Coturnix japonica: one gene and its partners. The protein of the gene in region 1 interacts with the protein of each later gene in a biochemical or structural test. Links are inferred from orthologs where the notes say so. Each region holds a gene or a part of one and is shown in the gene's direction. Other genes may lie near its edges. The genes, in order: BMPR2, GDF2, GDF5 and BMP2.

Region 1 (7,685 bases):
TTAGTGCCCAGCTGGGACTGTTCACGGTCACTGGTGCTGGTGAGATTAAAGCTGAGCTGAGATGTGAGACATTCTGGCAAATGGTGGCCCATCAATGGGCAGCCGTGGCCCATAAACGTCTGCTTGTTTTCTGTGCTCAGGATGCTGTAGGAGTAGAACTGTTCAGTGCTCGTAATTTCAGTTGTCTCCTCTCCAGGTCTTTGACCATATGGCAGCATGATTTGATGGTCTTGAGCTCTAATCCTGGCTGCTCCATTCACCCCACAGTGTGATCACGGGGAAGCATGTCTGTTTCCATTTCTCTGTCTGTTAAATAAGGGCAGCAATAATCTCTTCCCATAGTGCAGACAGAATCACTGATACTAATGTGGTATTTGAATGTTACATTAGTGGACAGAAGGAGCCTGATGAACTGGGCAAGGCTGTGTCAATTGCATACAGTGCAGGGCAGTAAAGCAGGGACCATTAGCTGAATTGCGAGGACACCAACGATGGCATTTCCAGAGCCACCATCAATCCTTTGTACGTGACTTTCATAAAGAAGGGAGAACGAGCATGTGTACCTCAACAAGGGCAGGCTGAAGGTTGCATGAACAACTCTAATTTTTTCTAAATAATTATCTTTCCAGTTTTTTGCATATGATGTATGATAATATTAGTTCTGCAGCACTGTTGTTACTAGCATAAACTAGCACTGAGCAATTGTGTTGTGTGTCTTCTGTTTCCTTATATCACCAACTTGTGACTATTCTCATCCATGCAGAATACTGTCATAGGACAGTAAATTAGAAGCACAATATAAAGGGAAAGTAATTTAAGAAAAAGTGTTTTTGTTTGTCTGTCTCCCGGCAGGCTGTGAGGTCACTTAAAGAAACAATCGAAGACTGCTGGGATCAAGATGCTGAAGCTCGATTAACTGCCCAGTGTGCTGAGGAGAGAATGGCAGAACTTATGATGATTTGGGAGAGAAATAAATCAGTTAGTCCAACAGTCAATCCAATGTCAACTGCCATGCAAAATGAGCGGTAAGAGAAAAAATGGACTTTAGTTGGCAATGAATGTCCAGTGCTTAGCTCACTACAGGAAGGAAGCTAGAGCACACCATTCACATAGTGTTTAAAAGAGTTATGGGAGCTAGTCTACATATGGATTTTGTGTATGATTCTGATAGTTTTGCATTGCATGAATCCACAAAATAAACATTTTTATGGCATTGGATTCTTACAATTGCCAGAATTCAGACATGTTGTATGTAAACAACTGTTTTTATCACAGTGAGGCCTGTTAAGCTGAGTTTAGACAAACTATCCAAACGAGCTTGAAAAGACTATGAATTGTGTTTAAAGACTCTTTTCTAAGTGATGCATTGAACTTCTGTTTAAAATGTTCTGCTATAAGCTATCAGTTCTGACAGTAAGAGTTCGTGATATCACCAAGACTTGAATTTATAGCTATTCAGTTTAAGAACTACAAAGCCCTTGTTAAAGTCATTGTTATTCTGGCCCAGTGAGAGAAGTGATGGGTACATCCCTTCTCTGATTGCAAATGATGCAGAACTGACATTAGTGCTAACATAATAGACACCATAGTAGAGATCTGGATTTGAGAGAAGGGTAGCATTGGCAGGGTTTGTCATGAAAAAATTCTGTTTAAAGCGTGGAACACCTAAATTGTTAAAATTATACATTTTTCATGGTTTAGAAGATTGTGACTCTTTCCCTAGCATCATTTTCTGTATCCTATGCTCTTGAGTATAGTTTCCCTTGTTCTCTTGTTTCCCATCTTCAGCATCACTTCTCTGCAACTAGACCAGTACCTTAGCAGTGAACTGTACAAATACAAGTATTGGACAAATAGAAGAAAATTGCTGTTATGTGATTTACTTCTGTCAATAAAATTCGTGACAAAACTGCTGTCCTAGTAAAATGATTATCTGCTTCCCAGGATTTTTCAAAGAGGATCTCAGTTTTTTAATTGTATCTGTCCTTAGTTTATGCACAAAAATAAGTAGACATTCAGTTCTCTTAAATTAAAGGCTTTATAATATACAGCAATATTTACATATATGATCTTAATATCACTGATTTTTTTTCTTAAAGGAACCTGTCACATCATAGACGAGTGTCAAAAATAAGGCCGTACCCAGATTATTCTTCTTCCTCCTACATTGAAGATTCAATCCACCACACTGACAGCATAGTGAAGAACATCTCGTCTGAACATTCAATGTCCTCTACACCACTGACTTCAGGGGAAAAGAATAGAAACTCCATTAACTATGAGCGGCAACAAGCACAAGCTCGCATCCCTAGTCCTGAGACAAGCGTCACCAGTTTGTCCACTAATACTACTACCACCAATACAACTGGCCTCACTCCTAGCACTGGCATGACCACAATATCTGAAATACCTTATTCAGATGAAACAAACTTACATACTACAAACATCATGCAGCCGGGTGGGCCCACGCCAGTTTGTCTGCAACTAACAGAGGAGGATTTAGAGACAAATAAACTGGATCCAAAAGAAGTAGACAAGAACCTGAAAGAAAGTTCTGATGAAAATCTGATGGAACATTCACTCAAGCAGTTTAGTGGACCAGATCCACTCAGCAGCACTAGTTCCAGCTTGCTTTATCCACTGATAAAACTTGCAGTAGAGGTGACAGGACAACAGGATTTCACGCAAGCTAGCAATGGTCAAGCATGTTTGATTCCAGATGTCCCATCTGCTCAGGTGTATCCTCTACCCAAGCAACAGAACCTTCCGAAGAGGCCTACTAGCCTTCCTCTAAACACCAAAAACTCAACAAAGGAGCCACGGTTAAAATTTGGTGGCAAGCACAAATCAAACTTGAAGCAAGTTGAAACAGGCGTTGCCAAGATGAACACTATCAATGCTGCGGAGCCTCATGTGGTGACGGTTACCATGAATGGAGTGGCTGGTAGAACCCACGGCATAAACTCTCATGCTGGCACAACCCAGTATGCCAATGGGGCAGTGCCATCTGGCCAAACAGCCAGTTCAGTAGCACAGAGGGCCCAGGAAATGCTTCAGAACCAGTTCAGTGGAGAGGATAGTCGATTGAATATTAATTCAAGCCCTGATGAGCATGAACCGTTGTTGAGGCGGGAGCAGCAGGTTGGCCATGATGAAGGTGTTCTGGACCGCCTAGTAGACAGGAGAGAGCGACAACTTGATAATGGCCGAACAAATGTTAATAACAATAACAGTAATCCATGTCCAGTGCAAGACACAGCTACACTCAGTATCCAGAATGTAGCCAGAAATCCTGGGCAGACTCAGACTAGAAGAGCACAGAGGCCTAATTCGCTGGATCTATCTGCCACAAATAGTTTGGATAGTAGTAGTATGCAGTGTAAGTGCCAGCAGAAGTTGAACAAGTTTCCCTGATGCATTTTTTTTTTGCTGAATAATTATGTATATCTACTTGAAAATACTTCTGTGTCCCCTTTCACTCCTCCAAGTGTGCCTATTAATCTCATATAAATTCAGTTTCTATCAGAACTATTTCAGTCTTCTCAATAAAGTCCTGTGTTCTGTCTTCATCAGCTCCAGAGTGCTTTAGGTCACTATCCTCTTTCCAAATACATGGCAAAAATCCATCCCTTTCTATTCTCTCTACTTTGAGAGGAGCCATTTCTACTTTTATTTGTTGCGAGGCAGTGGCAAAGGTTATTGAAATGTCTCCTGTTTCTTCCTTCAGGGACATACTGTGCCTTCTTTTCCTTGTTTTTCATCATTCATAAGAGTAGCTGGCTCTAAGATGCATGGATTAAAATTATTATTACACACTTATTACTTCGTAACTTTTAAAGCGACTGATATTATTGTATTAGTTCAGCCTATGTGGGCAGTCAGGCATTCTCTAGCTTACTATCTGAGCGTTAACAGTTAAAGCAATCCTTTGTCAGTTTACCATGTACATATTAAAAAAAATAAGCAAAGTAGTTAGAGAATGGATTTTAGTAGATGCCCTCAGAAAAACTGCCTTAGATTTTTAAGCCTAAAAACGTAAGAGGTTACAATGAGAATTTCTTTATCATGGTAAGAACTCTGTCTATATTTATAGTTCAGTACATAGAATGAGTTTCTTTGGAGTCTGTGGGCTGTTGGAGAGACTTCCTAGCTAACATGCTCCAGAATACATTGTCAGTGTCAAAAGATACTTGCAAACCTGACTGTGTTTAGGTAGAGGCTGTCATACTAGCAAATTAACCCGTGGTGCCAGGCATTGGATGCTTGGAAAGAAAAAGTTTATAAATGAGCTAGGACAGATCTTTCAAGAAATGTAGTTGAATATTCAGCAATTTAATGTTTAAGCTTTCCTTTTAAGTAGGAAACCTTATATTTTCATCTTTACTTGTTAACTTGAGTTGACATTTTATTGAAGAGAAAAAAAAAAAAGATTAACGCAGTAACTTTCTTTAGTTGAAATGAAGAAGAAATTAAAATATTTGAAGGTTAAGATCAGATTTCTACTGCTGAATTTTTGTTACATTTGAAGCTGACAAGCAAGTGTTTTTTCCAGTTTTGCAATGCAACATCCCAAATCCTGATTTAGGATCCTAAAGAATATTTGTCTCCTGGCAAAGGCCTGAGCTCTTGCCTGAGGTTTTGTATGTAAAGAACTGCTTTGCGAGGCCAAGTTAGGACCAGGGGATCTGTGATTTAATTTTGCTATCAAATGTTTAGCCTTTGCCATCCTGTAGTAGCTACATTTTTTTTTTTTGTACCTTCCATTACAGGTAATGTAAGATACTATGATTGCAAAAGCCCCTCAAATATCAAATGCTGATTCTGCTGTTTGATGCCAATGTGCATTCAAGGTAACACAAATTACTTCACTGAAGTAATTTCTGAAAGAGAACAGAATCTGCCCCTTGTTTTAGTGACAGCCACTATCTGCTGCCACCTCTCTGCCATACAGTTGCTTAATTTAATAGGATTTTCTGCTTTTTGTTCCATTCTGCATGAGTAACAACCCTGGACTGTCCAGTCTGTTCTTTCCTGTAATAGTGTTTTTTTCTACTTTTTGTTGTTGTTGTTCAGTAGGTGACTCCTCACAGGATGGCAAATCGGGCTCAGGAGAAAAGATCAAGAAACGTGTGAAAACTCCTTACTCACTGAAGCGATGGCGTCCTTCGACATGGGTCATCTCCACTGAGCCGCTGCACTGCGAGGTCAACAATAACAGCGGTGACCGGGCAGTGCACTCCAAATCCAGCACTGCCGTTTACCTTGCAGAAGGAGGCACTGCCACCACAATGGTATCTAAGGACGCAGGAGTGAACTGCCTGTGAAATACTTTAAAAGCCGACAAATGACCTTTCTGTTGGTTTTGTTTTGTTTTGTTTTTTCATTATTTGAAACAAACATACAGAAGACATTTTAAAAAACTGCTTTCTCCTCCTGTCAGCAACCCCTATCAAGGACTCGCTTTAAATAGATTTCAGCTATGCAGAAAATTTTTAGCTTATGCTTCCATATTTTTTTATTTTGATTTATTTTTTTGAACGTTTTTGCACTTTTATTTAGTATCGCTGAAGTTAAGTCTGTCTGTTTTGACCACGGAATATATATATGTGTATCAAAAATGTGGTCTCAAAATATTTTTTTAAAAAAAAAACAAAAAAAGGTATTGCTGATAATCAGTTTGGACCAGTTTCTTAAGGTCACTAAGATCACAAGCAGACTATAAGACAGGTTTGACTGCGGTGGTGTCTTGTAACCATGTTTTGATTTCTGTGCACAAGCTAGTCTGTATATTTCTATGTTACAAAGTGTATTCTCTTTTGCCCCTCCATTTTTCTTGTGTCATGTTGAAATGTGCAATAGTCTATAGTTCACAGTATGCTTTATTGAGAAGTGTTTCTAAAAATGCCACGTTCCTGTTTTTGTCTTTGTTATGTTTTCCCTGACAGTTGAGCAGTCAGTCAGTTGTGACAATTAACTTTGCACACCATAGCCAGCTCAAAGCTGCTGCCTGTATCACATCGTGCTCTGAGGTGACAACGTATGAACTTTCCCCAGTTTGAAAGGGCTTTTAAAAAGGAACAAAAATTGAGTTCAGTACCCTTCCTTTGACCCTTCTCAACTGAAGTGAGTTTCCTTAATGGTGGTAGATGCCAGCCCGTCAAGTTCTGAGTAACCAGTTGTTGAACAAATGTAAGGAAACAATGTCAGCCATTTTTGTACTTTATTTTGTGTGCAGTTCTACCCTTTGTATTTATGTAAAACCTTGCTTAGATCACTAATAGTGTACATTGAAAAATGCAACTCAAACAGAAATCTAAGTAACAGTCATACTTAAGAGCTCTAGTGAAGGTAGGTTGCGAACATATTTTGTTAACAAAGAGGAAAAGATATTAATCTTATTTGGCACAAATCTGTCCTGACAGTCTGAGTAGAATCAGCCTGATGACCTGCGCAGGGTGGGTGCATCCTGACTGGTTGCTGTTGCTGAGCTGAAACTCTCCTTCCCCTCAGGTTTTCAAAGCTCTTCATTCATCTCGGTAAAATCAACTGCATGCTTTTAAAATTCATGGGTATGAGTGTTTGGGGGGGAAGGCTGGCTTTTTTCTGGTTAAATACTTCTTTCAGTTTGTATGTAACACTCCACACATTGATTTTAGTTTCAGTGAATGTGAATCTAATATGTGTTGAGATTATTTTTCTCATCATCTTATATACATCTTACTTTATCGTAGAGTAATCATTTTTACTGTCTACTGGAAGAAAACTAATTTCCTTACTGGTCAGGCCTTCCTTTCACTTGAGAATTATCCATCCACCTGAGACTCTGATGGAAAACACTTCAGTAAAAACTGTTTAAATTAAATATATATATTTGTGTGTGTGTAACACATGTCAGTCTTTGGTAATGAGGTCAATTTTACCTTGGGAAACTGGTAATGTTCAAAAAATAAAATACAATAAATACTATGCAGCCATCCTGCCAAACTCCTATGGTAGGCTACTGGCAGCAGACACTTGCCTCTCCCAACCTGTCTTCTTCTGGCAGTCAGAACCAGATGCTCTCTGCTTTCAAGCTTGTTTGTTTCCTTGCTATTGTGGGTTTTTTTCCCCATGAGGTAAAGTTGCCAACTCTGTTTTATACATCTGACATAACTAGTATAATATATACTTTGACACATCTGATTCTTGCTATTTCTCAAACCCTTGCTTGTGCTTTATGAATTTATTCTTTAATGTTTACTAAATGTTTCTTACATTTTTGTAGGTATCTCCAAGAGATGACTCTAAATCCAAATTTTTCATTCAGTGTAGTTGTAGAAGTACAGGTTATGAGGTATAGTTTGGGCTCCCTGTGCTGTTTAAGCACCAGCTTAAATAATAACTCTGAGGTGCAGTTCTATTATCCTGATGTATAAATACATAGTTATACTTTCCCTCATCAGAAAATACGGCCTTTCACTGGTTTTACTTTTAATGCACTCCCCAGCTTCCCATCTGCTACGATCTTGCATCCCAGATGTTGAAAACTTGCCAGTTGCTCAGCTGGGTTTCAAGACCTCAATCAGAATTTTTGGCATTCTGTTCATAGTGTTGGCCACGTTTTTCATCTCTTTTGGACTTCTTCAAGTCTGCATTTGATGTACAGTATGTTGTCTTGTGATGATTGGTCTGTCGTGCTTAATGAA
Region 2 (7,183 bases), on another chromosome or scaffold:
GGAAGACTGCCACCAGAAAACCACACATAGCTCCTATGTTCACCTTTTCAAAGAACAAAACAAAACAAAAAAAAAAAATAAAAAATCCTGAAATTCTGGAAATGACACAAAAAGAGAAACAGAACCTGTCAAAGAAAATATCCTCCAGAATGTGACTAAAAAAAACCAACACTTTTTTTTTTTTTTTTTAATCAGAAAGCAAACTGAGAAGTAACTTGATTACAATAAGTACTTTGATGGAGAGAAACTACCAATGCTATGAGGCTTCTGAATCCAACAGGAAAGTGAGTAGAACTGATGTCTAAAAGGTGTTAGCCAGGAACAGTGAAACAATAAATGAAGCACCAAGAGTTTTAAGTGTGAGTGATGCTCTTTTAGAACAAGTGCTAAAAAAAAATAAAATAAAAAAAAAAGTTTTTCATTTTTCTGAGACCCTTAAAATGTTATACAACAAATACAAACAATTGAACACTGCACACAAGTAGAAAATACAAATGCCTTAAGTAATACATAACAACCTTTACAAACTCAGGAGAATAGAATCAACTCTAAATAATCTTCTCTGACTTTGCAATGTAGGAACACAGTTAACCAGAACCTTTCCTCCCAGTTGTCACTTGAACAAACACATGACAACCTAGACTGAGCTCACTTTAAACACCACATGCACTGCTGGCAAACTAAAGAATGGCCAGAAAGAATAAAATATTGTCAAATATACTTTTTATTTTTAAAGTAAGAGCTGATAATACTGTTCAGAATTTGTGGCATATGTAAGAATGGATTGAGCTGTGTTTAAAAAAAGATGATATGTTAACAGTACAGACAAAATATACACACCATTAAATTAAATCATAGCAGGTTAATTAAGACAAATAACAGGTGATATTTTCGCCTATAAATACACACTTTATTTTCTTCTGTATCATAAGAAATTCTACCAGACTTGTACTTTTGTCCCATTCTTCTTACAGATAACTGTATCAGACCCTTACTTTTCATGCAGCATCAGAAGTGTTGGTTCTGTTTCCACTCCAAGGTCACTGGTTGCTCTTGGATTGTATTGACCAACAAGAATCTAAGAAATATATTATGTAAGATGCTATAAAAACAAGAATTAAGTCCCATCTACCAAAAGAATCAGACTGAAAAAGGACAAGCCTGCAAACAGCATGAAGCGCACTTGACACAAAACAGATATTACAGTGTGTACAAATAATAGCTCTTGGCTGATAAACGGAAAGAAGTTTTAAGGTTGTTTGTACTGTCATGAGATCATGTCTTGCAGAATCACAGCTCTCCATCAAATTACTGTAAATTTTCTGATGGCATACTAATGGAACGTGGAAGGTATTTATGAGATGTTATTTACTAATAGCCAATAGAATAATTTCATTCTAGATTTCTGTTTTCTAGTCATGATGAAAACTGTGTAATCTTCCACGTCCCTAAGAAAGCTTCTGCCTGAGTTGGCAAGGAAGTGCTAAAAGAGAGTAATTAGGCAACGATGACCCTAAAGTGAAATGTGGATTCTTTACAATATACAGTGTCCTTCCCACCAGCCATGTGTGTTTGTCAAATGTTTATAGAATCTTCATTAACTAAGAGCTTTGCTTGATAACGGAAGCTGAAGCATGGCATCAATGACTCAGATAAGGGCAAGTGTACAACCAATCTGCTTGACAACTGACAAGAGGCTGGGGTTTGAAGTAGACAGTGAAAAGAACACAAGAAAGTGATTTGCAAAGGGCATTCCAGCTGTTTGCCTTCCATCTCCTTTCCTCTGTCTGTAAAGATACAATATTTTTGATCAGTTAAAATACTTTGTCCTCTCGTCTCTCCGCCAGAAAGTAAATACATAAGAAATGCATTATTTTGGAGTATTGGCTGTACTGTCTGTTTTCAATATCATTGCGTGTCTGACAAGAGGCAAGCCTTTGGAAAACTGGGACAAGTTACCAGTTATGGGAGAGTCTGATGCATTCTTTCATGATCCTGGAGAAGTGGAAGATGAGACCCATTTTGACTTTAAATCTTTCCTGGAGAATATGAAGACAGATTTACTAAGAAGCTTGAATTTATCAAGGGTCCCCTCACAAGTGAAGACCAAAGAAGAACCACCACAGTTCATGATTGATTTATACAACAGATATACAGCGGACAAGTCCTCAATCCCTGCATCCAACATTGTGAGGAGCTTCAGCACTGAAGGTAGGAGAAGTCCTAAGTGTGTGGACATGAACTTTTAAAGAAATATATGAACAGCAGTCAGATGCTTTTGAAATTCTGAGGAAACTGGTTGCCTAACTTCCGCAGTCTACTTAGAAAGTAAATAGATTAAAATTTTGGACATTGGCCTTGCTCCTTTCAATCTTTAAAAAAATATAACTAAATAATTTCTGATATTTTTGTTGTACAATTTTATCTATTTGAGACAATATGTTGAGCACAGGGTTTACAGGTAGAGATTTGTGACTGCTTTTTGTTTTGTTTTTAATGTTAGAAAACAAATATGTGATCACCTATAGCACAGGCGTTCATGACAGAGGACGCTTCTTTCTAGGAAGCTTCTGTCATTCTTAAGCACAATAGCCAACTGAGAAATTTGTGCCTCGATCCAAGCAAGGATCCAGAAGTGCCCACCCCAAATTCTGGTTTAGATGGGAAGATTTACATGGAAAGTAGTAGCCAGGCTTGTCTTGAGTTGAAAAAAGTCCAGATCTACCTGTGTAACAATAAATAGATTGTTGAAAGCTCCATCTCAAGACACTAAAAAAAAAGAAAAATGCTATAAGTACAGTCTTTGGAATAGAAATGAGACAGGAAGAATCTGTTCTTACAAAAAAATTGATTGTATACAGGTAACAACACTATGAGGATCTCCAGATTCCCAAATAAGTGACTTTAATCCTGAAATGGAAAGAAACTTCAGCAGTATGAACTAGATTTTTGTTCCCACACCCCACTCTCCACTCAGACTGCTTTAGAGGGAAGATGGGTCAACAATAGCAAATTAGAATTGCCCTAAAACACAATGATAATTGAGTAATTATCTTAAACTGATGACCAAAAAGATATCATTCAGTGATGACTTTAAAACACTAACAACCTGATCTCTCACAAAAATATCTGCCCTTTCCAAGGCAGAGTTGCTGGCTCTACACGTTTGCAGAAAAAACACCAAAGCACCATGAATGCTCACAAAAGCCTGGAATATACCTAAACACAAAGAACTGTTTATCACCTAGTCCTAATTTAAACAGACTCTTGAGCTTTGATTCAGGTTTTTCACATGTTTTCTGTGTTCTCTAACTCTCAATAACACAAACTGCTTTCAAAGCTATTTGAAGACAACAAAAACCCCAGCAGAATTAATTCTCAAAGAGACAAATATATACCATGCTTCTCTGTAATAGGAGAGCAGTTTATCCTACTGCACTACTATGAGCGGTGAATTCTAAAAGTTTTTTATAGGAATCCTTTCTTTATAGGAATCCTTTCTGTAAAATCTCTTCAGGAAATTGCTAAACTTAACACTTAACATCCAGTGATGAGTACCTGCTACAGCACCACCTGCACCTTGTTCTAGGAAGACTCTTCCTGCTACCCCTCCACTGCTTCAGACATTCACCTGCATGCAGCCTTGGTGAAAATGCTACCAACATCAAGGAACTACATTTTATCTTTTCACTCCCTGCTCCTTGAAACCTGGCCAGGAGATGGTATCTGTTTCTTTTTGATTGTTTGTTTAATGCTAGGTAGCCGTGGTCATATTTTATTCACAAAACACATCCCGCACCTTTTAAAAGCAAGTTATTTGGACTGTCAGGAGCACTGTAACAATAAGTTTTTATTTCCTATTGTAGATGTTGTTTCTTTAACTTCACCAGAAGAAAACCCATTTCAGAAACACATCTTGTTCTTCAACGTCTCTATTCCACGGTATGAAGAAATCACCAGAGCTGAACTGAGAATCTTTATCTCCTGTCACGAGGAAGCTGTGTCTCCCTCCATACCGGAAGGCAACATGGTCATTTATGATGTTCTAGACGGGGACCATTGGGAAAACAAGGAAGGTACCAAATCTTTTCTTGTCTCCCACAGTATTCAGGAGTGTGGCTGGAAGATGTTTGAAGTGTCCAGCGCTGTGAAAAGATGGGTTAAGGCAGACAAGATGAAGACTAAAAACAAGCTAGAGGTTGTAATAGAGAGTAAGGCTCTGGGTGGTTTCCCTTGTGGGAAGCTGGATATTAGTGTTACTCATGACACTAAGAATCTGCCCCTCTTAATAGTGTTCTCCAATGATCGCAGCAATGGTACAAAAGAGACCAAAGCAGAGCTCCGGGAGATGATTGTTCATGAACAAGAAAATGTGCTAAACAAATTAGGAAAGAATAACTCTTCATCTGAAGAAGAACAGAAAGAGGAAAAAGCCATTGCTAGGCCCCATCAGCATTCCTCCAGAAGCAAGAGAAGCATTGGAGCAAACCACTGTCGGAGAACTTCACTCCATGTGAACTTTAAAGAGATTGGTTGGGATTCTTGGATCATTGCACCCAAAGATTATGAGGCTTTTGAGTGTAAAGGAGGTTGCTTCTTCCCTCTGACAGATAATGTTACGCCAACGAAACATGCTATTGTCCAGACTCTAGTGCATCTCCAAAACCCTAAGAAAGCTTCTAAGGCCTGTTGTGTTCCAACTAAATTGGATTCAATCTCTATTCTTTATAAGGATGATGCTGGTGTACCCACTTTGATATATAACTATGAAGGGATGAAAGTGGCAGAATGTGGCTGCAGGTAGTATATGCAGAATATCTAAGAAGAATACACTTCTGTCTGTGAAACTGTACATTAGTGATGCAAATGAAAATCCTTGCAAACAAGGTTTGGAGCATGGTGTGGGGTTGGTTGTTGTTGCTGCTTTTAAAGGAAAGCTGGCATTTAAAGAATGTCCATCAGTGTAAATGTCCTGCATTATATGATATTAATTAAAATGTTGTGAGATTGAAAGAACTATGCATTATTTGGCTAGAGTGACAGAAACAAAACTTATTTGAATTTTTCTGTTAAACTAGTTCTTTTCAGATCACATGCAGCCTTTGGGACTGAGGATGTCCTCTAGGTTTCTATGCCTCTTAGAAATTTAACTCTCTCAGCCAGTTCTTATTTCCAGCTTCTGTGAAGTAACTGAATTGCAATTAGTTTGCATGATAAAGCAGTGAGTCTAAATCCTGCAAATCTTTACTCACATCAGTAATCTCAGAGACATTTAAAGTCATTTTAATGCAAAGTACTTACTCATATAAGTGAAGTGTTTTTTAATTTCCCAAACAGATGACACTTTCCATCTCATTTGATTCCAAGGCTTCCTTCTGTGGGTAGCAGGTGCCTTGGTTTCAGCTTTCTTATCCTCAGTGTCCCTATTTTTACCCTTTTATGGCACATACTTGAATGATAAGTACAGCCTTCCGCTTCTAAGACACTGTTTCCTAGGAGGAGCAGCAGGCCTTATCTCCTCACAAAGATAAGGAGCCACTTTGACCCACTGCATATTCTTAGTATTTCTTTGCAAGAACATGCAGTCAAATGACATCCAGTCTTAGGATCTGTACCCTGACAGCTGTGGGGGTTGGCAGTGCTCAGCACTTGTGAAAAGAAATAAACAAGCCAATTTTTTGAGGCCTGACAAATTTCTTCGGAGTCTAACTCCAGGCTCTATTTCTTTATCTTTTCTTAGGATAAACACTATTTTGCATATGAAATTCTTTCACCCTTTAGAAGTCTGGGAACAATTGATAACTCCTTTCTATGTTCTGGGACACTTACACTACTTTATGGGAAATTCACTGCCATACAACAGTTCTCCCATCTTTATTTCTATTTTCACTAAACAACTCCATGTTTCCTGCAACTATGGAAAACTTTCTTTGATTGTAATGAAGGTTTTGCCTGTACAAGATAAGACAGTGCTTTGCATTGGTTTCAGGTGCAAATTCAAAGTGCCATGAAATGCCAACACACTCCACTCCATTTCTACTATTCCACCTTCCACCAAAAAGAATCTACCATTTTTGATTCAAATCCACAGCAAACTACATATATATGCAAAATATTAAAAATTAACGAAGCAAAAATATGAAAAGAAGCTTAATATATGGAAGCAACATGATTTAAATGGATACAGATGTTTTAAATTAGGACAGCTTGTGTGCAAGACAAATTAATTTGCTATGAACAGCTCAGCTTGAAATCTAATATGCAATTTATTTTCTATTGTTAACTTAATACAGAATACACAGCAGGTGAGTGTGAGCAGAGCTGTTGTAATTCAAGAACTGTTGGTTACATCACAACCCATGAGCACAAAGCATGATTCACCAGAATCCTGTGGCTGATTTACAGCCTCTTCCATTAGAAGAGGGTTGCAATTGGATCAGATCTGAGGTCTGGATCCATGAGAATTCTATCCACCCATAGCTGAGTGTCATTAACCTCTTAGGTTTCATGTGACATCCTCTCATTTTACTACTCCCCACTGGCTTCTGTCATCTTACAGTTGTTATATCTTCCTCCTTTTGGAAATCTGTTTTCTCTCTCTTTTGTATTGACATCTCTGAGATTTACAATATTTCGCACAACTTCTATTCTTCACATAAAAGAAGCTACTAAACAAGCATCTGGTGTGATCACATTAGAATTCTTTTTCACTCATGTGTTAAGGTAATTGTAGCTGTTTGCCCTCAAGTCATCTAAACACAAGGTTCTAGGCTGTAATTCTGACTTCACTGAGCACAGGACTTTATGAATTATGAAATTAAAAAGTGGAAAAGGAGAAAGACTAGTCCACACAATGTTCACATGTTCACAAATGTATTTGCTCAAAAATCTATTATTTTCTCAGAGGGAAAAAAAAAGGGGGGGTGGTGGGGAAGGAGAATATAAGAAGTCACTTTTAGCTCAATTCAGATCCCAGCTATTCTATCAACTTCAGTAAAGCTCTTAAGACACTTTCTCAAAACCGTACTACAAGTCTCTTTTGTACTTCAACCAAAAAACAATAAAAAATCAATTTCATCTTTAGCCAGCACTAGCAATCATACTCCCATAGGCCATACTGTTTTGGATGGTACAGAAATAAACCAAAACATGAATCTTTCCACACTGCAATGAACAGGGTCAA
Region 3 (8,251 bases), on another chromosome or scaffold:
ATGGATACAGAGTATTAGGATGAGGGAAATGAAGCTTCTGATAGACTCAGCTCCTCCTGCATCAGCTCTTCCCTAAGCCTTTACATACAGCTCCCAGTACTTTTCACAGCACTACTGACACAAAGAGAAGTCATTATCATATATGGAAGCTTCTCTTTATCTAATACTAAAGAAAGTGAGAAAGGGTTTAATGTTCTGCATAGTTCTAACTGCTCATCTTGAGACATGCAGAATGATGAGAGAGACAGATGCCATGCCAGGCCAACTACATCTGTCAGACTAAAGGTTACTCTGTTCAAACCTCAGCAATCCATGCTAAATCCTGAAAGAGACCCAACACCAAAATGAATGACAAATCCCTCTTAAATCATGTTTCATTACGAACTTGGAAGAGAAAACTTACCAATGGCTCAGTATGCCTCAGTAACAGTAAGCTTACTGTGAACCATAGAATTATTTGAGTTGGAAGGGATCTTTAAAGGTCATCTCATCAACCCCCCCTGCAATGAACAGGGACACCTACTGCTAGGTCAGGCTGCTCAGAGACCCAGCCAGCCTGACCTTGAATATTTTCAGGGAGGGGACACCCATCACATCTCTGGACAACCTGTGCCAGCATCTCACCACTCTAAAAAAGTTCTTCCTTACATCCAGTCTGAATCTCCCCCCTTTTAGTTTGAAACCATTTCCCTATATCCCATCACAACAAACCCTGCTGAAGAGTCTGTCCTCTTATCTTACAGAACGGTCTCCCCAGAGCTCCAGCTCTCAGCCTGTCCTTGTAGGGAGGTGTTTGTCCCTCAGTTCATTGTTGTGGCCCCCCTCTGGATGTGAACCAACAGGTCTATGTCTGTCCTGTGCTGAGGGCTCCACCTGTGGACGCAGTGCTCCAGGTGAGGTGTCACAGTGCAGCACAGAGGTGCAGGATTCCCTCCCACACCCCACTGTTTGGACACATCCAGGATACAGTTTCTTGCAACGCAGACAATTAAGATGCAAACAGCAAAACAAAAGGGAGGGGAAAGCTCTTGTATGTTGAGAATGGCTCAGCCGGAGGGACTCAGGGCAGCCAGGTCAGTGCACAGCTGATGGCTGGGACATACAGCAGCGCTTCGGGAGTACTAAAGTAAGTGGAAAATCAGCTGGCAGAGCCTGAACGGTAACGGGCGGGATTCTGCCGGGGCCTGCAGAAGGAAACGTGTCTTTGCCATCTCTGCTATTGCCGCCTGTGCTCCAGCACCTCACACGTCAAACCACGCAGCCGGTAACTCAGCCACACTCCGGTCTCTGAGCGCCCGAGCAGCTCCTCATTTACAGAAAGGCCGCACCGCCTCCTGCGCTCCAACGGCACAACTGCTGCCGCTTCGTCCCCGAACCGAACCTTCCAAAGGGCAGAAAGTTCCGCAGCCCCCATGACCGCCGTTATTTCCCCTCGATTCACTCAGGCCCCGCGCTGCCCGCACAGCTCCCCCCTTCCGGCCGCGCCCAGACGGGACGGGCCTGGTCGGGCGGCTCCCGAGGCCTGTGCTCCGTGCTCCGGGCACCGCGTTGTGCCGCGCCTTGTCCCGCCCTCCCCTCACCTTCTCCTGTAGCTCCCGCACCGACACCGCCGGCTCCTGCCGCGCCTGCCCCGCTCCGTGCCGCCGCCAGGCCTGGCCCCGCGCCGCCTCCCTGGCCGCCATGCCCCGCTCTCGGCCCCGCCCCGCCCGCTGAGCCCCGCGGCGATAGGACGGCGGGTGTGCGGCGGGAAGCGCGCCGTGCCCGACACAGGGGCTGCCACCGGGTACAGCGCTGTGTGTGCTGAGACTGAGTCGTGTACGGTGGAAGCTGAATGTGAGGGAGGTGAATTCAGCTATGGCGGATTAAACATCAGATGGGCAGATCCACAGGAGCGCAGAGGTCTGACAGCGCTCACATCGCAGCACCGTGTTGGTGACAGGCGGGAGCCCCAGGGGCCAAGCTCCAGGAATAGCAGTTTGGCCAGAAGAATCTGGTTGAAATCACACAGGGGACAGGAATAACGGGTGGTGCCTCCTGAGAGCTGAAGGAGACCTGGGGCTTTGCTCAGAGCAGCTCACAGTAGCTCTGTCCCCATTGGCCCACCAGGGAAGTTCCCGCAGAGCTGCTCAGCATCTCCAGCTTCACACTCCTCCTGCTCCCATGTCCTGGTTGTGAGACTGATTCACCCCAGTTTGGTTCATTCTTTTACTTGTGACTGGCAGTATCAGTTGGTGTTCAATAAAAATGGAAAGTTACATTCATCTCAGATGTGTAAATACTGGGTGAGCATTTGACCAATTGTGCTGTTAGTCTGATTTACCATGAGACAAGGCCTATGGAGTCACACTGTCTCACCTTCTGCCCTTTCCTGTCCATCTGCCCAATCGTTTCTGTATCTGTGAATCTCAACCATGTTTGATGGAACAGGAGAGATCTTAAAGATACAGAACTCTTACCGGTGTTGTGAAAACTGGAGTACCCCAAAAGTGACGCCTCCTAGATAGGTTTCCATGCAAACCACAACAGATACAACACATACAGTAACACTGACAGAGCCAAACAGAGTGTTTGGGTGCTGGCTTTTCTACATGGAGGAATGTGATTCCATCCCTTTGCTCCATGTGCGACTCCATGTCAGATGCCATCCTATCAGGCTCTCCCTCTGCTGCCATCTGCCATATAACAGCAGAAAGGAACAGCGTGTGGGTGGGAAGGTTCAGTTTCTACTGCCATTCCTCCAACACCTGCCTCTGTCATCATGGGCCAACAGCATACAGTAGGAGGCATCACTTTCAGAGCATCCCTCATAGAATAAGAGCATGAACTCAGCACTTGGCTGTTTCTGTGGGCAGAACCAACACAGCACACCTGTCTGCCTGCAGGAAGGTGGATAATGAGGGTGGGAGGAAGGGACAGCATGGCTGAGGGTTATGGGGACAGCACGAAGGAACTGTTGGGGAAGGGGCCTGTTGGAAGTAACTCGTGGAAAAGCTGCTTTGTTTTGATGGGAAACATCAAACTGACTGCAGAGAAATGGCAATTAGGCCAAAATTGAGAGGGTGGGGTTTTTGTTCTCCCTCATTTGTGACATCTGTGCGGTCACTAAGCTGTTCTGCCCTTTGGTTCCTCCACTGGAATATGGTAAAGCATTCTAAGCGTGTCATATGGAAAGGGCTGCAGGTTGTTATTTATGAAAGTAATTTCATGTCAGAGTGGAAAATGCCGCAGCACGTCCAATTCAAGCTAAAATCGAGGCTGTTGTATCTATCCCCTTTATTCTTGCTTCAGGAATAAGTGACTGGGAGGGGAGGGCTGGGCTCAGCACAGCGCTGGATGAGAGAAGGGTCCCATTAATCCCCGTTCACTCCAGCCCAGTGCCTCATTTCCCCAAGGTTCATTCAGAACAACAACAGCTCATTTTTTTGTACTGCATGAAAGACACTCTCGCTCCGTGCTCCCCGGAGTACAGCTGACAGCAGCAGATACCCTTCCCACGTCAGCAGCTCCGGTTCCCTCCTCCCATCCTTCCCCTGTCTGTGGGCAGGGAGCTCTCCTACATTCGGGTTCACAAAAGCTCCGTCCCGGCTGCGCCCCGGCTCAGAGCAGCCCGAGCCGTGCTGCTGGCAGGAGCGGGGCCGCCTGCAGGGAGCAGTGCCTGCACAGCCTTCTCCTGCAGCTGGGTTACGCGGGTTTGTTCAAAGCGTAGCAATAAAAACACCAACATGCGATGACTGCGGGCACGGCGGTGCTGCGTTATACCAAATTCATCGCCTGCCTCGTTAGCTGAGTCGCTGGAGGGCAAAGCGAAGCCGCAGCTCCAGCAATAAGGAGCAGGACGGGGTTACGCACCGAGGCTTTCATGTGCGCGTTCCCGTGGGCCGCAGGACGGGTCCCGGCTGTCCGTCTCGCAGTTTGTCCCATTTAAACGTGAAGTTGATGGAAGGCGAAAGGAGAGGTTGTGCCGCCGCTCCAAAACGCGTCCTCTGGAGCCCTGAGCCCGCGGAGCTGTTTCACATGAGGCAGGGAATGAGTCATGCTCATGAAAAGGGCAAAGAAGATTTTTTTTTAAAGAAATATATCGCAGTTAAATTAGTTTAGACAGCATGACATCAGAGAGTAATTAAATCGGTTTGTTGGAATTCCGTTTCCAATTCCTGAGCTCAGGTTTGTAAAAGATTTCTGAGCACCTGCAGGTCTCTGTGTGTGAAATATTTTCACTGGAAAGGATTCAAAACGTTAAAAAAAAAAAAAACAGCCCTTTTAACACAGAGGCAGCATTACGCCATTCTTCCTTCTCGGAAAAAAAACCCCTCCGATTTAAACAGGACTCCTTCAACTTTTCAGTCAGTTTTACAGAAGAAAACGAGGTGGTAAACTTTCTCTTTTCAAGAACGAGCCCTTTACAGCCACGAACTGAAGTCAGGGGAGAGCGCGTCTGAGAGCAGGAGCATTTCCACTATGGGACTGGATACGAGCACTGAACAACCAGATTTGCAATGTTTTAATCTCGATCGAAAACCACTTTTGCTGACTTTGGTTTTTAATTTCTTTCATGTTTTCTTCTGCCAAACTGGAGGAACCTTCCCTGATTTTTTCTTTAGCGGCATTCAGAGGAAGACCAGAGGATGAAAATCCTGCATTTTCTCACTTTACTGCTTTGGCATTTGACTTGGCTGTCTCTGGATCTAGTTCCTGGAGCACTGAGCAATTCTGAAGCAGGCCAGAGTAATCCGGGGTCTAAAACAGATTTGTTAAAAGCAGAAGGAAAGGAGAGGACTCCCTCAGCACGGGCAGGCACGCCACGGGCTGCGAACCATGGATTTAGCACCGGGACCTCGAAGGCAAGGACTAAAAGCAATGCTGCTCAGCCTGGAGCTCTGCTGGCCAAGAACGACGAATCACAGAGGGTTCTTTCAAGAGCAGCTGCCTCAGAGGCAAAGGTAGGACATCTCCCGAGCAGACCTTCTGGAGTAAGGACGGTGACTCCAAAGGTCCCAAATCTTAGCAGCAAGACGGCTTTGAAAAAACCCAGCACGAGCAGTGCTGATAGCAGCGCTTTCAAAACGAAAAAGACTAAAGAGCCTGTCACCCAAAGGGAAGCTAAGGAAGCTTTCAGACAGCCCCCTATAACGCCACATGAATACATGCTCTCTTTGTACAGGACTCTCTCAGACGCAGAAAGAAAAGGTGTTAATGGAAGTGTAAAACTGGAGGCTGGACTTGCCAATACAATAACCAGCTTTATAGACAAAGGACAAGGTAAGAGGGGAGCTCACGTGTGTGTGGACAGAGGGACATCTGAGCACGAGCATTACTAGAACATAACTGTATGTTGTTAAAGGCAGAAAGCTCTTTCTAATGAGAATGAAATTGTAGGTTTTGTCCTTATCTTGGCAGATTCCTCTAGAGGCAGAAATAGATGGTAGCATGGCAGCCAAGCAAAACATTAGAATATTTCAGGTGCATATTTCTGAAAATCCATTAGTCCTTGAGGGTTTAGTTGTTCAGAAACTTTCACGTTTTGATCTTATGCTATTTCAGTAGGAAGATCCTGGATACTGTTGCTTGATTTTATTGCTAAGTGTGTCTGAAAACACATTCTCTGCTGAGAAAGGGGCTGTTCTGCGGAAAAACACACGTTTCAGTGTTGGAGGTCACCCCAGTTTGTCCAAGGATGAGCTGGGAGGAACTACAATGTAGACCCAGGAGTCATTATAGAGTGGCGCTGGTGTACCTGTATGAGCTTGAATCTCATGCTTTCAGACACTACCAGCCTTCTAACCACAGAAGCTCACAGCTAAACATGGGCTAATGAGTGTAAATAACTTCTGGGACTCCCTAATTTGCGGTTCAGTGTTATGGTTCCAAATTTATTGGAAATTTGGCCTAGTGTCTGCTCTCACACAACACATAACCAAAGAAAGATGTTCACCTTGCCGTCCCAGTGGGAGGCTTATCTCCATGTTGCTTCTGGTGACGTTAATGAGAGCTTTGGTCATGGAATTAAGGAAGCAACACAGGCCACAGCTAATTACATAATAGTGATTGAAGACTCAGCCAGGACTGGGTTTGTTTGCTGTTTAATCAAGAATAGTTTGGCTTTCGGGATGGGATGGCACGCAGCTGAGCAGTGCTGTGTTCAGATCCTTGACTGACCACTGGAAGGCGCTGTTATTGAAACATGGATAAAATGTTGGTTTGGGCATATTCCTCATTAGTGCCGCTCGCAGGTTTAACCAGGCAAAGACAGAGTCAGGTTAAAGGGAGGTCTGTTGTTCTGCCCAGTATGGAAAAGTTGTGAACTCTGCGGAGCAGAGTTAATGAGGCAATTATCTTTGTGTTCCTGGGGGATGCTGGTTTTAAAGGACTAATGACTATTGTATTGTCTAAGGGTAATGTTGGAGCCAGCATGAGGCCTGGGCACCACTGAATACCCATTTCAGTAACGTAAGTGGTATGTAAGTGGTGAATAGGCCCTGTGAGCCCTCAGACCTTATAAATGACGGTTTTCCAATTGGCTAAGGGCTACTTTGAAGCTAGAAAATGCCCACTGGTGAAAGAACTGACATTTCTAAAGGGCAAGCTCAGGAACTCCTTTCCCAATGAGTCACTGAATTCTTCCAGGTCCCCGCTCAGAGCCCATCCCTCAGACAAAAATTGTCCTTTCTGTTTAGTGGGCTAACTGAGGTAAATGCTGGTCTTACGGGGAAACTGCAGGAACATTGTAGAGAACTGACAAAGCAGCATTGCTCTGTGCTTCATTTAAAAATGCGTGTGCTTTTTTTAGATGAGCGAGCGCCAACCATAAGGAAACAAAAATACATTTTTGACATCAGTGCATTAGAAAAAGACGGCCTGCTGGGAGCAGAGCTTCGGATACTGAGGAAAAAGCCTTCTGATGCTTGGAAGTCTCATTCTTCTGGAAAGACTTCCCAAGTGAAATTGTTTAGTTGCTCTACCAACAGACAAGCAGCGACGCTCCTGGACTCTCGTATTGTCAGCATCACAGATACACCAAAATGGGAAGTGTTTGACATCTGGAAGCTTTTTAGGAACTTTAAAAACTTGGTCAACTTGTGTTTCGAACTGGAGACTTTTGACAGGGGGAGAGCGGTTGATCTCAGGACTGTGGGATTTAACAGAACGGGAAGACAGGTCAACGAAAAGGCTCTCTTCTTGGTGTTTGGGAGGACAAAAAAAAGGGACTTGTTTTTCAATGAAATCAAAGCTAGATCCGGCCAAGATGACAAAACCGTGTATGAGTACTTGTTCAATCAGAGGCGGAAGAGAAGAGCTCCTCTAGCAACACGGCAAGGGAAGAGGCCCAGTAAGAACCTGAAGGCAAGGTGTAGCAGAAAAGCCCTCCATGTGAATTTTAAAGACATGGGCTGGGATGACTGGATAATAGCACCCTTAGAATACGAAGCATATCACTGTGAAGGTCTTTGTGAGTTCCCCCTCCGATCCCACCTGGAGCCCACCAATCATGCAGTTATCCAAACTTTAATGAACTCAATGGACCCCGAATCGACGCCTCCTACTTGCTGTGTTCCAACCAGGCTGAGTCCTATCAGCATTCTTTTCATTGACTCTGCAAACAATGTGGTCTACAAGCAGTATGAGGACATGGTGGTGGAGTCGTGTGGCTGCAGGTAGCAGAACAGTTGCTCATGTGAATATGCTATGAAAGATAATATGACGCACTGAACATAACCTCTCCTGAAACAAGGTTAACTTAATTTCTTACCTCTAGGGTATGTTTACAAGGATGTAGCACCAAATCCAGCCATTCTGTATGTTTTTCCACCATCTCTCCACTTTGGGCATATTTCAATTGCATTTGGACACTGTCACAGAGCCCAGTATAAAGCCACGTGTTGGCAACACAAGACTGGCTCTACCTAAAGTCTGCGACAGGGAAGATTTGACCTCCATGCCTCTAAATCACCTGCTTTTTACCCTAGAGGCAGTGTGTAAAAATGGTATTGGTGAGCTGCGACCTGTCTGATCCTTTGAACAACATTCTTGAGACTGAATCTATGTCTGAGTCCCATGTGCATTGTCCATTATGAGCTGTAAGGAAATAGTCCTGATGTCTAGAAGAGAGGGTTGTGTTCTGGCACGCTCCCATCTTGGTGTAAATAGTTGTACTGTAATATGGTTTCTTTCTGATTAGCTCTCAAAACTATGCATATGAAAAAAAAGGAGTAATTAAATGTAATGTGTTGATATAGTTTTAAGTTGTACATGG
Region 4 (8,303 bases), on another chromosome or scaffold:
GGAAATGTCTTTGAAGTGTAGAAAACACTGGCTCTGCACTGTAGTTCCTGATAAGTTCCAATTTTCTTGCTACTATGATGGAAAGAGAGCCAAGATTTGATGAATGAAATTGAGACTCGCCGTGAAACAGAGCAACAGCTTTGATGAGCTGCCAGATTCCAATAAAGGTGAATAAGAAAGAAAAAGGCATTTCTGAATAAGATGCCTTTCCCCTCTTCAGAAACAAATCATCATCTTATAAATTACCTTCTCGAGTGAGAATCCATCCACGGAACAGGAGACGGGCTGCAGAGCACAGACAACCGATGGATGTTAAAGACAAACTACCAAAAGACAAACACATCTTCAGAAAACAGCATGAAGTGTTTTCAAGAATGAGCACACATCATATTCGCACAGATGCCAATGGGGAGCCCAGCTGAGAAACAGAAAAGCTTTCAGCTAATCTCTATCAAAGCCTCAACATCACTAACACACCTTAACTCGTTTTCAGCAGCCACCCCCCTCACGTTTGATGCTGCATCATGTAGATTTTTCATGCTTCAGCATAGGCTTCTCTGAAGAGGTTTAGTCACTGCAGCGCACCAAATACATGAATCACCCTCAGTACTGTTAGTGTACCATGTCAAAAGCTCACTATGTCTGAGGGAAATTGGCCTAAGAGGGGAATTTTAGAAGTGCTTGGTGTTGGTCTAGCAGGTCTGCTGAAGTCAGTGGTAGAAGTGTTGACCAGCAGTGTGCACAGAGCTCTATGTGTGCTGCTGCAGACCTGTCCAACGACTAGACCAGGATCTGGAGTGTTTTGTTAGTGACTGTGAGTCCCAGCTCGAGGTCCCGGCTGCATTTCTCATTGAGGTCTTCCAGCTGAAGGCTTCTGCCCGCTGCAACGTTGGCAGTGCTCACAGTTAAACCAGGACAGAAGAAAGACACTACCTGGTGGCACTACAGAAACACAATTGGATGTAGTAGGAAGAACAGAGTTGTGCGGAAGAAGACTTTCTTCTTGCCTTCCCGTGCTTGAAAAACAGTTCTTACCGGGTTGTAAAACCTATCTGTCTGTGGGTGCTTTATTTCACTAAGAAAACCCAACAGTGCATAAAGTTGAGATCTACCAGCTGCAATTGGGCACCTGCAGAGGAGCACCTGGATCTGAAACCCAAGAAGCAGGTGCCCTTAGCTGAATGCTCACTGGCTCAGATAAAGCCCACAGCAAACCACAACACTGTGAAGCAAGAGAAAAAGAAAAGGAAGAAAAAAAAGAGAGTAGATGTGCAGAAAAGGAAAATACAAATGGATCAGTCCAGTCAACCATACAGAGTTGAGGAGTATGGAAATGAAGCTTCACAAAGGTGACACATCTGTGCGGTCCAGCTTCTTACAACCCAATGTCCATATCAGATCTCTTCAGCACCAGTGCTGGTTTCTCTGTCAGGAGAGGAGCTGATGCACCAGCTCTGTGTGAAGGGGAGCTCTGTGGGGGAGTGCTGCTGTGGGACACCTGGGGGAGGTGACCCTTCTGCATACGTGCTGCTTTGCCACCTGGCTTCTTCCTGGCATGACCCACGACAGACTGAACTGGGATGGCAATTAGAAGTTCTCATTTAACGCCAGTGATGTGTAAACAACACTGCCATTGTTATTTTAGTGCTGATTTACATAATGGGCACAGCATCACACTGCTTTCACCTTGGTCGTGAAGAGGACTCGCAGGGAGTCATAAAACTAAACTTTATTTGTACTGAAATGCAACAGAAAAGTTACAGAACTTTTGAGGGCCTTCACACGAGGGTCAGCTGAGGGGGCGTGGGGAGCAGCTGGGTGCACAGTGCTGGTTAGTCCCTGCTGGGCACTGTCCCATGGCACAGCTGCGGCTCACAAGGCGGCAGGAGAAGGGACCTGCCCCAGTGCAGATGCTGCGTCGTGCCCTAAGTCAAGATGGAGGGAGAAGGCCACTCCCAAAGGAGGAGCTGGGAATGGAGGTGTCAAGGTTGTTATTGCTTTAGATTCTCATCCGCAGTGTTTTACATTTGGCTGTAGCTTCTTTGCAGATGAAGTCCCTGAGGGGCGTTTGTGACCCCTGCGGAGGGGCCGCGTCCCACACAGGCGAACGAAAGCCGGGGTAGCGGCCAACCCCGACCCCGAGCGCGGAGCCGCGTCGAGGCGCAGAGCGGCACAGGGGAGCGGGCAGGTGCGGAGCGGGGCAGCGGGCGGGGAGCGCCGCTCCGCCGCCACTGGGGGGCAGCCACGGCTCAGGAACGCGAGCGGCCGCGCGGGTCGGGCCGGGGCCGGGGCACGGGGCAGCGTCCCGGGTGATCCCGGAGCGCCCCGACGGCGGCTGAGCGGGGAGAGCGGCTCCCAACCCGCGGCCGGGCACGGCGGCGGTACGGTGCGGGACGGGACGGGACGGGGCGGGCCGGGAGCCGCTCGGCAAGTCGGGAGCGACGCCGGGGGCTCGGGGTCCGGTCCCATCGCGCGACCCGGCGCTCGGTCACTGTGCGGGGAGCGGCGGGACGGTCCCGTGCGGGCGGACGGACGGACACACAGACTGGCCAGAGCCCGGCGCGGTGCGTCCGGGCGAGGCAGGGAACGGGCGAAGGAGGAGGAGGGAGAGAAGCGGCGAGGGAGGGAGAGACGGAGGGAGGCGGCGTCTCCTTTAAAAGCCGTGCGGGGCCGCGGCCCGCTCCCACAGGGCGGCTGTGATTGGCGCGGGCCCGCGAGCCTCCGGGGTCGTGACATCGGAGCGCAACAAAAAGCCGCGGCCGCGTTCGGCCGCCCCCGTGCATGGTGCGGCGCGGGCGGGACGGGTGCGCGCTCGCAGCGCTGTCCCCACCGGTGCTCACACCCTCCGGAGGGGTTTTGTTGGTGGATATTTTTTGTAATGTAGCTTTTTATTTCGTTCTCCTCCTCGGTTGGGTTTTTCCTTTTTTTTTTTTTTTTTTTTTTNTTTTTTTTTTTTTTCTTTTAAAGGCGCGGAGCAAAGCGAAGCCCAGCTCCCATCTCCATGTCGCTGCGGGATTCCCGGTAAATAGCCGCCCGTGCGCTGCGGGTGATGCGCAGGACGCTCGCGGAAGGCGCCGTTCCGCTCCGTAACGCGTAGCACCCACTCGCGGGCGGGCAGCGCGCACCGAGAGGAGAACGGAAAGGAAACACCGACTTTGCGACCGGCGCTTTGCGAAAGGAGAAGCGCGGACTTTCCTCCTGCCTCCCGCCCGCCCGCCCGAGGCATGTTCCCGAGGCGCTCCGCACCGCGGGCAGCTCCCGTTTTCCGCCCGGCAGCCGCAGAGGAGCAGCAGCAGCGCGGTTCGGAGTAACTCCAAGTGATGCGGGGACCACAGCCCGAGAGCAGCACGCGCTCCCGCAGACGCCAGCCCCGCCGCACTCAGGTACGGCCCCGCGGCCGCCGATCGCCGTCTCCGCAGGATGACTCCGTGCAACACCGGGGGGACGGGACGGAGAGCGGGTAGCGAGCCTTAACCCCGCGCCGAGTTTGGCGGGGGAGAAGAGCGTCCCGCGGCTCCTGCTCGAGCGCGAGCGGCTTTTATTTTTTTTTTCCTTTTTTTTACTTTTTTTTTTTCATCTTTTTCTTTTTTTTTTTTTCCCTCTTCATTCCACGCCGGGATAGCGGGGCCCTCCTCCCTGTGACCGGGGAAGCCGCGGCTGGAATAGCCTGCCCCGGGCACGGCCGGGAGGTCCCTCTCCCACCGCCCCGTCCCTCTCCGCCCCCCGTTCCCTCTGCGGGAGGCCGTGGCCGCACGCACCTGCGCCCGCCGAGGGCGGCTCTCCGGCCACCCGCGCCCCTTCCCCTCGCCCCCCACCCCCGCTGCCCGGCCCGCCCGGCTCCTTTTGATCCCCCGCCGCGGGGATTTGGTGCCGCCGCGCACCTGAGCCCCGACGGGGCCCCCCCGGCCGCGCCGTCCCGCTGTCCGCTCGCCATGGGCCGGCAGCCACCTGCGGAGTGGCCCCGGCTGCCCCCCGCTTCGCGGCGCGCTCCCCCGGCGCGGTGCCCGCGCTGACCGCCTCCCATCGCCTCCTCCTCCGCGCAGGTCGACCATGGTTGCCGCCACCCGCTCCCTCCTGGCGCTGCTGCTCTGCCGGGTGCTGCTGGGCGGCGCGGCCGGCCTCATGCCGGAGGTGGGACGGCGGCGCTTCAGCGAACCGGGCCGCTCCGCCTCGGCCGCGCAGCGCCCCGAGGACCTCCTGGGAGAGTTCGAGCTGCGCCTGCTTCACATGTTTGGGCTGAAGCGGCGGCCCAGCCCCGGCAAGGACGTCGTCATCCCCCCCTACATGCTGGACCTCTACCGTCTGCACGCCGGCCAGCAGCTGGGCTACCCGCTGGAGAGGGCCGCCAGCCGCGCCAACACCGTGCGCAGCTTCCACCACGAAGGTAGGGGCCGAGGGACGGGCGGAGGGGAGCGGGAGGAGTGCGAGGGTGGGACGGAGGAGGGGCGGCGGGGCGGGCTCCGAGCTTCGGAGGGGGTCGCGGCTGCGTTTCCAGAGCCCACCGCGGGCTCCGGGGCCGCCGGTGTGAGGCTCTCGCCGCGCTCTGCCGGCCGCGAACGGAGCTTTCTTTGGGCGAGGCGGAACGCGAAGGAAAGCTTCCCCCGAGCCGCGGCGAAGGTTCCTAATCCCTTATCTAAATCCCCGTGGGAGATAGGCGAAGCGGGCCGGAGCGGCCTTCCCCCGGCCGCCGTCGAGCCGGAGGAGTCGCGAAGCTCGGGGCCGTGCCGCCCGGCTGGAGGTAGCGCTCCGGGGTGGAGGTAGCGCTCCGGGCTGGGGCTCCGGCTGCTGGCTGCCCGTCCGGGGGCCGTACCCAGCGAGCGGCTCACACGGCCGAGATCGCAGCCGCGTGGTCCCGCAGAGCCGTCGGTGCTTGCCGCTGCCCCGCTCTGCAGGAAGCTTTATCCCGGGATGGAACCTGCCCTGGCCATAGTCTCTGGCGCTGGCACACGGCGGCTCTGCTTTAAAGGGAATGGAAAAGCGGTCGCCCCGCGCTCTTCAGGTGGAACAGCTGAGAAAAGAAACGCGCTTAGATTTAATGGTTCTGCTGGACGGAGGTGGCCCCGGTGCCGTTTAGTGGGAAGTGAGATCAGTGGTGAAATGTCACTCTCTCTGTAGCGGGGAAGTAAACAGCAGCAGCGCGTGGCTCGTTCCTTTTAAGCCCGTACGTGGCAGGCGAGGTGCTGAGCAGGACAGGAGCCGAGGGGCACGGAGTGTAACTTGTAGGCAAACAGAGCAGCGTTGGAAGCGGTGGTGTTGCAACAAAGTCTTTGACATGGAAGGCTGTCCTCCGGTTTTCACAAACTTGAGACGAAAATCAACGTGACTCCGTTTTTCCATTGAGTTCTCACTGTTGGTTCGTGACTTCATGAGAGCAGGAGGCTGTGCCGGGAGCGCTCGCACATCTGCATATTTACAAACGCCGGGCTGGTCCCGAAGCGCTGCAGAGCTGAGCCCTGCCTGATGCGGGAAGTCGGGCTGGAGCCAGCAGGGAATGGCACGGGGCTGAGAACTGCTCACGTCAGTGCCAGCTTCCCTTCAGAAAGTGAACGGATCCCCGGGATGCTGAGTAGCAAAAAGAAAACCCAGGATTTCAGAGGGATTATTGTGGGCAAACGCTATTTCTTCCGTGTCTGCAGCAGAAACTTACAGTGTAGCAGCCCTAGATACATAGTACTCCCCCTGAAGTTCCATTCCAGTGTCTGTTGGCTGAAAGGGAAAGATGGCACGGGGCTCAGGGGCTGGTTTGGTTGCTAAAAACATTTCCTTATCCCTTTAGCATCCACCCATTCTAGCAGCTAGACCCGTTCTCACAGTCCTTTGGACTTCATACTGGGGTGTGCTTGTAAAGTGGCCTTACAGATGTTGAGGTCACTGCCTCTAGTTAACATATGCAAATCTATACATTAAGATTGAGTAAGTTACTGAAGATGTGGAGCACTGTATTTCAGAATGGAACTTAAGAGAGAGGTGCTCCAGCCATATTCTTGAAAAATGCAGAAATGCATCAATTGCCCTTAAATCCTCAGTTGGTTTCAATGATTCTCATCAGACCTCTGCTAACTGTAGTGCTCGAGTTTTCTCACTGATGTCTTTGAATTCCAACGTGATGCTTCATGTTTCTCGGCACTGGTAATGACTACCTGGAATGCAAAGAGCACCGGTATTCCATCAAAGTGCATGACAATGAATGAAGCGTTCTTAACTTTGTGCTATACATGCTTGTGTAAATAAACAGAAGGATGAGGGAGGCTGTGCTTTCTGCCTGGAAGTCTTTCAGGTCTTGTTTGTCGCATGCCAGCAGCACGTATCTGAGGGGTTTGGTTGCTTGTCTCAGTTCCTAACTGTTTTTTCTTTCTCTCCCTCTGCTCCCTGCCCCCCTCCCCTTCCCTTCTCGTTTAATCAAATTAGAAGTTTTGGAAGAACTGCCAGAAACAAGTGGGAAAACAGCACGACGTTTCTTCTTTAATTTAACTTCCATCCCTAATGAGGAGTCTATCACCTCAGCTGAACTCCAGATCTTTCGGGAGCAGGTGCACGAAGCCTTTGAGAGCAACAGCAGCTACCATCACCGTATTAATATTTATGAAATTATAAAACCAGCCACAGCCACCTCTAAGGACCCCGTCACGAGACTTTTGGACACCAGGTTGGTGCATCATAATGCAAGTAAATGGGAAAGTTTTGATGTAACGCCGGCCGTTTTGAGGTGGATTGCACACGGGCAACCTAATCATGGGTTTGTAGTGGAGGTGGTTCACTTGGACAAAGAGAACAGTGCCTCCAAGAGGCACGTTAGGATTAGCAGGTCTTTACACCAGGATGAAGATAGCTGGTCTCAGCTCAGGCCGTTGTTAGTGACGTTTGGGCACGATGGCAAGGGACACCCGCTTCACAAAAGAGAAAAGCGTCAAGTGAAACACAAACAGCGCAAACGCCACAAATACAGTTGCAAAAGGCATCCGTTGTATGTGGATTTCAGCGACGTGGGTTGGAACGATTGGATCGTGGCTCCCCCGGGCTACCAGGCGTTTTACTGCCACGGGGACTGTCCCTTCCCTCTGGCCGACCACCTCAACTCAACGAACCACGCCATTGTTCAGACTTTGGTCAATTCAGTGAATTCCAAAATCCCCAAGGCCTGCTGCGTGCCGACAGAACTGAGCGCTATCTCAATGCTCTACCTGGATGAGAATGAGAAAGTTGTGCTAAAGAACTATCAAGATATGGTTGTGGAGGGTTGTGGGTGCCGCTGACACGGCGAATATATCGGACAAATGCAAAAGAAAAAATAGAGAAAAGCTGACACTTTAATATTTCCCAATGAAGACTTTATTTATGTAATGAAAATGGAAAGAAAAAGAAAAAAAAACACAATTATTTTGAAAAATATATTTATGTCTACGGAAAGGTTGGGAAAACAAATATTTTAATCAGAGAAATATTCCTTTAAAGATTTTTAAATGTATTTTAGTTGTACATTTTATATGGGTTTAACCCCCCCAGCACATGAAGTATAATGGTCAGATTCTTATTTTGTATTTATTTCCTATTATAACCACTTTTTAGAAGAATAGCTAATTTGTATTTATGTGTAATCAAAAAAAGAGAAAATGACAAAAAAAAAAAAGAAAAAAAAAAGAAAATATAGGGTTTTGTACATAATTTTCCCAAATTGTAGCTGTTTCAATCGCGTGTATTTAAGTTGAAGAGAAGACGCGGAAGGTTACTATGGCAAAGTGCATGGCGCATTTGCTTTCTGCAGTGCTACTGTTAAGGTCACAAGTTCAAGTCCAGAAAGAAAGTGGATAATCCACTCTGCTGACTTTCAAGATTATTATATTGTACAATGCTCAGGAATGCCGCAGGGTGGGCTGTCCAATCCATGAGAACTGGCATCCTCCTTAGGTGGAACGTTTGGATAAGAAGCAGACGTTGCTGATCTAGTAGCAATACTATTCCTGACCGAGTGAATATAAGGAGGGCCAATAGGAATCCCTGGGGAGGTGGGGGTGGGGGAAAAAGACCAAAAAATCCTTTCTAGACCTACAGAAAAGCGAATGTTTGATGTTTCTTTTAAAAGTCCTTCCTTTAAAAGTCCTGGCCAAATATAAAATAATAAAAACTCAAATGTCATCCTTTTTTTTTTTTTTTTTTTTTTTTTTGTGATTATGCATGGTGAAGAGGAATAATATCTTATCCATACTGGCCCCTAACCTCAGTTGGGAGCTCACTTCTGTGCAGTGTAACAGTGAAACTGTCAATGTTTCACGCTTCCTACAGCAAGTTGTTACCGTGAGCAGCCC

What was found.
Region 2: the proteins of BMPR2 (region 1) and GDF2 form a complex in vitro, tested with the Homo sapiens proteins (2 studies listed by BioGRID). The link is inferred for Coturnix japonica from reciprocal best matches to the Homo sapiens genes BMPR2 and GDF2.
Region 3: the proteins of BMPR2 (region 1) and GDF5 form a complex in vitro, tested with the Homo sapiens proteins (2 studies listed by BioGRID and IntAct, with this or other methods). The link is inferred for Coturnix japonica from reciprocal best matches to the Homo sapiens genes BMPR2 and GDF5.
Region 4: the proteins of BMPR2 (region 1) and BMP2 form a complex in vitro, tested with the Homo sapiens proteins (4 studies listed by BioGRID and IntAct, with this or other methods). The link is inferred for Coturnix japonica from reciprocal best matches to the Homo sapiens genes BMPR2 and BMP2.

The regions. Positions count from the first base shown.
Region 1 is NC_029522.1:10,381,767-10,389,451, forward strand, and holds part of BMPR2 (bone morphogenetic protein receptor type-2), read left to right. Parts: intron 1-852; coding exon 853-1,025; intron 1,026-2,099; coding exon 2,100-3,379; intron 3,380-4,769; coding exon of another isoform or gene 4,770-4,819; exon of another isoform or gene 4,820-4,850; intron 4,851-5,073; coding exon 5,074-5,324; 3' UTR 5,325-7,685. UniProt on the Homo sapiens protein: On ligand binding, forms a receptor complex consisting of two type II and two type I transmembrane serine/threonine kinases.
Region 2 is NC_029521.1:15,467,189-15,474,371, reverse strand, and holds the end of GDF2 (growth/differentiation factor 2), read left to right. Parts: 5' UTR 1-1,865; coding exon 1,866-2,211; intron 2,212-3,866; coding exon 3,867-4,804; 3' UTR 4,805-6,907; downstream 6,908-7,183. UniProt on the Homo sapiens protein: Potent circulating inhibitor of angiogenesis. Signals through the type I activin receptor ACVRL1 but not other Alks. Signaling through SMAD1 in endothelial cells requires TGF-beta coreceptor endoglin/ENG.
Region 3 is NC_029535.1:1,100,912-1,109,162, forward strand, and holds the start of GDF5 (growth/differentiation factor 5), read left to right. Parts: upstream 1-3,291; 5' UTR 3,292-4,625; coding exon 4,626-5,259; intron 5,260-6,787; coding exon 6,788-7,656; 3' UTR 7,657-8,251. Other genes in the region: centrosome-associated protein CEP250, read right to left, coding at 1,581-1,682. UniProt on the Homo sapiens protein: Growth factor involved in bone and cartilage formation. During cartilage development regulates differentiation of chondrogenic tissue through two pathways.
Region 4 is NC_029518.1:13,149,726-13,158,028, reverse strand, and holds BMP2 (bone morphogenetic protein 2), read left to right. Parts: upstream 1-2,950; 5' UTR 2,951-3,383; intron 3,384-4,043; 5' UTR 4,044-4,050; coding exon 4,051-4,384; intron 4,385-6,408; coding exon 6,409-7,253; 3' UTR 7,254-8,133; downstream 8,134-8,303. UniProt on the Homo sapiens protein: Growth factor of the TGF-beta superfamily that plays essential roles in many developmental processes, including cardiogenesis, neurogenesis, and osteogenesis. Induces cartilage and bone formation.